Linked DNA regions of Coturnix japonica. The protein of the gene in region 1 purifies or fractionates together with the protein of each later gene. This does not show direct contact. Links are inferred from orthologs where the notes say so. Each region holds a gene or a part of one and is shown on either strand. Other genes may lie near its edges. The genes, in order: ACVR1 and TGFBRAP1.

What was found.
Region 2: the proteins of ACVR1 (region 1) and TGFBRAP1 purify together in Homo sapiens (co-immunoprecipitation; 3 studies listed by BioGRID and IntAct, counting the BioPlex papers as one, with this or other methods). This does not show direct contact. The link is inferred for Coturnix japonica from reciprocal best matches to the Homo sapiens genes ACVR1 and TGFBRAP1.

What each region holds. Positions count from the first base shown.
Region 1 is NC_029522.1:29,815,551-29,819,373, forward strand, and holds part of ACVR1 (activin receptor type-1), read left to right. Parts: intron 1-2,135; coding exon 2,136-2,266; intron 2,267-2,950; coding exon 2,951-3,085; 3' UTR 3,086-3,823. UniProt on the Homo sapiens protein: Bone morphogenetic protein (BMP) type I receptor that is involved in a wide variety of biological processes, including bone, heart, cartilage, nervous, and reproductive system development and regulation.
Region 2 is NC_029516.1:121,837,469-121,840,468, reverse strand, and holds part of TGFBRAP1 (transforming growth factor-beta receptor-associated protein 1), read left to right. Parts: coding exon 1-263; intron 264-1,077; coding exon 1,078-1,266; 3' UTR 1,267-3,000. UniProt on the Homo sapiens protein: Plays a role in the TGF-beta/activin signaling pathway. It associates with inactive heteromeric TGF-beta and activin receptor complexes, mainly through the type II receptor, and is released upon activation of signaling.

The DNA.
Region 1 (3,823 bases):
AGTGCAGTCTGTTCCTTAGGTCTTAGCTGTCATTCCCAATAATGTGATCATCTTCGATGTTGATGTGAGACACCAAGCTTGGAAGGGCTGCTGCTCAATGGCATGTGGTCTGTGTTGTGTCTGCAGGGCTGTACCTGCAGCTTTGGGGTTTGTGGAGGTCCTGTATTGCTCCACAGTGCATTTCTACATACAAGATAAGCCTTCATGCAAGTAACAGAGGATAAAGTTGAAAAAAACTGCTGCTCTGTGAGAGTTCCATTGCATTTGGTTAGCAAAAATCAGCTCTTCCAGAGAGAGAAGCGTAGGGTGTTGTCAGTGACAGAAGTCGTTAAGGCTGTCCAGAAAATGGAGAGCTGTAGGTTGTGCTTAGCGGGGCCTCTTGTAGTAAGAGGCTCATTTCCTTTCCTCTGGAAGTGAGAGAGGGAAATGTGCCACAGTTCAGGACAGCGATCTTGCTGGGAGGAGGCGTGTGGGTGAGAGGTGGCACTTGGTGGCTGTGCCAACCAGCTGCTGCAGCCAGCAGCTGCCCCAGGAGCATTAGGGGCTCCGCAGTTACTCTGTTGGAGTAAAGGCAAGACCATGTTGACTTTGTGTTCTAATACTGTGCCGTACCTCAAATAGCCATCTGTATGTTGTTGGTTGGAATGCTTATGTGAGCATAGGAAACTGAAACAGAGCTGGACTTGCTCAGTGATAATCTGATATTGTAATGGCACTGGCAGCACCTTCAGGACTGTACTGTGTAGCTCTGAGGGTTTGCCTGTGAATGGTGTCAAACCGCTGCTTCCATTTCAAGTGATACAGACCCAAAAGAGCTTTTTTGTATTCTTAAATTCTCACAGACTTCATTTTGTGTTCTGAGAGGATGCAGAAGGAGGACATGACCAAAGTTCAGCCCTCTAGGTGATGTTCAGTATATGCAGTTAGTTAGAAGTTGCTTGGAAACAGAATGTGGCACACACAGCATGCATGGCTCGCTGTGAGCACACGTGGCAAACCTGTGGGCTGGTAGTGGCTGTGTTCTGGGACGTCCCTTGGACAGCCAGGTCTTTGAGCTCTTTCCCAGGTGAGTTAGGATTTGCTGAAGCCCAGTCCACAGATATGGAGATTTACAGACTTTTGCTGAGTGTCTGTGGGATTTTGATCTTAGTCTTCAACAGAACAAGAGCACTAAATCCCAACAAGCACTGTAGCAAATGTTGGAGAACTGTTTTTTCTGCTCAAGTATAACTTGAAGTAAAAAGTATCCTGAATTTTGTGTGTATCTGATTATAGACCAGCTGCCAGGCTGCTAAAAAGCAGTTCTAGCTTTGTTCTGTCTGTGCTTCTGCTGTACACAGAGGACTTCATTTGCTCACTGTTTCTCCGAACTAACTTGAAACACCAGTTTTTAAACTGGCTTCTGAAGAAAGCTGAGCTCCCTGGGTCATTGATGAGCTTAATCCACAACAGCGGCAGTGCTGCACGCATGCCAGAGTGAGGAGGCAAAAGACTTTCAGCAGGCTGCTCTTATGTAACCTGGGGACAAGTGGAGAGAACACGCATTAACTTCTTGTTTACTCACTTTTCAAAGCAGAATCTTGGAAACTGCATTCAGATACCATAGCAAAGCCTATACCTGAAGATGTGCGTTGCCACTTACCCTAAGCATTTTACTGTGTTAGTAGCAGAAATGATTTTATGCGAAGCACCGGCGTGAGGGTCAGTAGATGCTGACATCCATATGGGACTCTTTCATGATGCATGGAACAGCACAAAGCGTGTCAACCCTATTGGAAACAACAGTGCAGATGATGAAATTCTGTGCTGTTCTACTAGATATCTCAGTTCTCTGGTAGCCTGTAAACCTCCATGCCTTATGAAAGACGACTTTCCAACAAGTAGATTTACCTCTTATTTTGGCTCAGGCATCTCCAAAATGGATATAGCTTTTAATTTTGCTGCATGGTAGGAGAAACTCTTGCCGTGATAGTAAGTGCTATTCTGTTTTTCTAGTGACTGTTTAGCACGGCAGTGTGGAGTCTTACAGGTATTTTTGTGCTTCTCTGGTGGCTGGTTCACACATGCTGGCTTTGCAGAGGTGCTCTTTCACTGACAGCCATTTAATAATGCCTCTCTTGGTTGTATTTCACTAGGTATTGTAGAAGACTATAAACCACCGTTTTATGACCTGGTTCCCAATGATCCCAGTTTTGAAGACATGAGGAAAGTGGTCTGTGTAGATCAGCAAAGGCCAAACATTCCCAACAGGTGGTTCTCAGACCCTGTGAGTAGACGTTCCGGTGTATGGTTTGTAAAAGCTGACCCCTCTCCTGACCTGAAGCCATGCGAACTGCTCCTATAACCATCTGAAGCTGAGATCATCTCAGTGCTACTTGCCAGCATAGGTTTCAGACCCATCTATGTGTGCACCTTGATGTTACAGAAGGAAGAAAACTCGATGAGCAGACTGTTAAATCTGAGCTATTCTCACACTGGCCCTTCAGTAGTAAGAATTAATAATTGTTTTCACGCTACTCTTCCTTTGTTATTACTCACTTTCCAAGGGAGGGTGTACATGGGGGAAATGAAGCCTGTTAGGCCTTTCTGTGGCTCATAAGCACACAGACTTGGAGCAGTGCTCTGATTCCCCTGCCTCCATGATAAGGGACAGTTCTCTCTGAAAGGCGACTGCTGCTTGAAGTTTTCCTTCACCACAGTCAGTCTGGACCCCTCAGACTACTGTTCTAAAGTTGTGATGGTTCGACACCGCAGTCAGCCCATTGTTGAGTCACTTATTCTCTTTAATTATCAAACTCTACTTTTCAGCACTCAAAAACTGGTCTATTTGAAATGCCTAATAGATGATGCGTAAGGTGGTAAAGCCATTCTGTGTTAGGGCCCAACCTATTGCTGTTCTGGCTTGTGATTTGTGTACTTACATGTGTGTTTTGTTGTTATTCTTTTCCAGACGTTAACATCTCTTGCCAAGTTGATGAAAGAATGCTGGTATCAGAATCCATCAGCACGACTAACAGCCCTGCGAATCAAAAAGACTTTGACCAAAATCGATAATTCCTTAGATAAACTGAAAGCTGACTGTTGACCTTCTTCTTGTGGTGCTTTCCTGACAGGAAGGCACGTGTCTGGCTCAGAGGCAGCCCAGCCAGGCAGTTCGTGTAGTCGGTCCCCATGTGGCTTCTTACAGAGGCAGCAGCTCCTACCAAGCCATCCATCTGGGAGACACCGGAACCATATGGACTTTGCTCAGTGACTGCAGTGGGCATTTCACAAACGGTCAAGCTATAAAGACTCATGCTGGATGTACTGTTGCAAAGGTAGTGGCCTGAAGGAAGACAGAGAAATCCTAAGACAAGATCAGGGCATTAAATAATGGCTTTGAACAGCTTCCCCCCCCCTCCCCAACCCCCCCCTTTTTGGTTGTTTTATCTTTAAATTCTCCTAATCACTCCCAGGGTGAACACGCGGAAGTGGTAATTTTAATCAGCAATATTGCCTGTGCTTCTCTTCTTTATTGCACTAGGAATTCTTTGCATTCCTTACTTGCACTGTCACTGTTAATTTTAATGACATGACTTGCCAAAAATACGATTGGCTGCATATACTGCGTTGATCCATGCCTGAATAATAGGAAAAGAATTTGGACAAAAGGAAAGAAAACGTAACGGTCAGATTTTAGCTGCATTTTACGTGTACTGATGTTTACAATAATGCTGAACATTAGGAATTTCTCGTTTATACAAAACTTGCAAATTATTTATTACGGTGCACTTGCCAGTTTCTAAACTGCACAGCGAGTGCATAAAGGTAAAGCTTATTTTTA
Region 2 (3,000 bases), on another chromosome or scaffold:
TCTTCCATATGCTGCTGTCAGTATATCTGAATCCAGACACTTCGGATTGTGCACTCGTCACGGCTGCTGTAGATCTCTTGAATAACCACGCTGCTGAGTTTGATGCAGCTCTGGTTTTGCAGCTGGTGCCTGACAGCTGGTCAGTGCAGCTCCTCTCCCCATTCCTGGCTGGAGCGGTGAGGCAAAGCATTCATACAAAAAGAATGACTCAGGTTGCACTTGGGTTAGCACAAGCCGAAAACTTGATCTACAAATATGAGAAGGTAGGGTTTTGTTATGTTTTGTTTATAATAGAGGCACTTTGAAGTTTTAATACGAGTCTGAGGATTTAATTATAATCAGACACCTTAAGAGTGAGGGCAAAATTGACTTCAGGTCCTTGGCAATTCTAATTGCTACATTTATTACATTTTTGTGATGGCTACTATAGTCAATGTTATGCTCCTATTACACAAAAGGGGAGGTGGGGCTTTGAAAAAGGAACAGCTTTGAACTGAATGGAATGATGGAAATACATTTGGGATTTCCAGATTAATGAATTTCTTCCACAATTTTTTACCAACTGAGTTTTGTTTTCGTTTGTTTGTTTGCTGGGACTGAAGCATGTCAGAAGTTGCAAGAAAGCTTGCACAACACTTGGCATTAAAGCTTATTAATAGCTTTTGATTTTGTTAAATCCACTTGAGGAGTTTTTTTGTTATTATGTGGAGCAGTGTTAAAGATTTTTTGAGTATGATTAGATCTGTTTCCTTCTAATGAAGGTTTATCCAGCAAAATCTGTCTGCAGTAAGAACTCAGCAGTGCTCTGTTTGCTGTGGAGTTGTGTTCTTGTTTAGCAAGCTGTACCAGGTTTTCAGTTGCATTGAATGTGCCTTTCTGTGTGAAGCACAGAAACAATCTGGTATGGATACAGAGACTGAATTTCATGTTAAATAGTTCAAGCTACTTTTGCCATCAATTTGGTACATTTGAAATAATTCACAGGTGTAACCAGTGAAGTGTTGCTTTTTTTCTGCTGTATCTTAATTTGACTTCATTCATTAGTAAATACGTATTTGGATTTTTTTTCCTCCTTAGGTCAAACATAAAGGAACTCCAATTCTCCTTTCGGACAAAAAGGTCTGTCAGGTGTGCCAAAATCCTTTCTGTGAGCCCGCATTTGTAAGATACCCAAATGGGGGTATGGTCCACACACACTGTGCTGCAAACAGACATCTGAACTCAAATGTGACTCCTTGCTCTTCCAGCTCCAGCAGTGAGACTTGAAATATGTTCCAGGTTCCAGAGGTTCCCATGACTTATATCACACTGAAAGTGGACTGAAAAATTGAAAGAAACCAAGTGCAGCTACTTTAAGCATAAATCAAGATGAACAGATAGTTATTGGGTTAATGGGAAGACTTAAGTATAAAATATGGCCAATTGCCTCTCGGTTTCTAATGAATGTAAATAGAGGGGAAAAAAAATCACTACCAGAAATGGAGAGGTGCAAATATAGACTTCTGTATATAGTAATAAGCAGTCAAAGAAAGTGAGCCTTTTTTTCCACAGTGAGGACTAATGTTACGGAGACAAGGTAAACCATTATTTTCAGAAATGTCACTTTGCACTGAATGTGGTGTTGATACATTTGTAGAGGTGGAGATGGTATCTATTGGAGTAGGAATTCTTGGAGCATTGCACAAGACTGCCAACGTGCAGCTGACTGTCAGGACAGAAACACTTTGCTCATGATGTTTGCTGCAGCACATCCTCATTTGGGCTGGATTCTCTTCCCCAGGATCAATAATGAACGTGTTCTTTGCTCTACAAGTTGTTGGCTTTTGCACTTTTTCGTACTCTTATTTCCTTCCTCTCTCCTCTGCTGTATAGAATTTAAACTTAAGCGCTAGCCCGATAATTTTCTGCTCCTATCGTTACTGTAGTAAACTGAGTGGAAACTGATAGACTTGGTCACACAGCTGCGCGTGGATGAAGAAATGAAGTCAGATTACCTGGTCAGACTGTAGTCACTTTTTTATGGGAAAAGAAACTTTTAATATTGGTTTATTTATTAATATGCAAATATACTGTACATACAGTTGAATACATTTATCTTATATCATCATGGAGGATAAAGGATGTAGCTGATGTGGGAGTGTGTAGGTTATGTGCTTAAATGTTTGTTATAACTTAAGCAGACTGAAACTCAACAAGAATGGGTATTAATACCTGTGGATTACTTAGTGCAATCATGGGAAGGTGGCATAACTGGGAAGAAATCTTCTAAGGTGCACTACAGAGATATTGGATTTGTTGTGTTCTACAAAATGTTCTGTAAACTACAGTTTTCCAGACAGCAGCAAAACTTGTACTGAATAAGCACGATAAATCATTCAACCATTTTAAAGCAGTTGATGGGCTGCTTCCCACAAGAGAGGCTCAAAAACAGTAGCTCAAATAAAATAGTATTTCAAAGTGAAAGCTCAATGCAGCTGAGAGTGCCAGTAGAGCTGATTACTGCTTTAGTGTTCCAAACCAGAGCTGAGTCTTTCAGCAGGGCAGGTTATTTGCGTGGTAGCATCTGGATGTGGGCTTGGAAGAGATCTCCTGTTACAGAAACATCGGCTTATGGAACAGCTTTTTCAACACCAGAAATGGGCAACCAAGACTACATGTGGGGGGGTTGGAGGGGAGTATCCATTTCTTTGTCTTGAAAGTAAAAGTCATTTGGATCTTTGCTGAGTCAGAATTCAGTAGTGCTGTTGTATTGAGTTTTAAAGAAAGTAATTAAGTTTTGCAGCTCCTTCTGCTCAGACATGAAAGACAAACTTAATGAAAAGCACCTTCCGAAAGGCGTTCTCTCATTTCTGAGTTGTGGTACGAGTGATCCTCCTGTGTAGCCTTGGTATGAGCAGGTTCTGTGTCTCATATTTCTGATTTCTGAGCAACCTGTGTACAAACAGCAATGAGAAATTTCTAGTTCCACGTCTTCAAAACAGTTGCAGGTAGGGGCGGAGG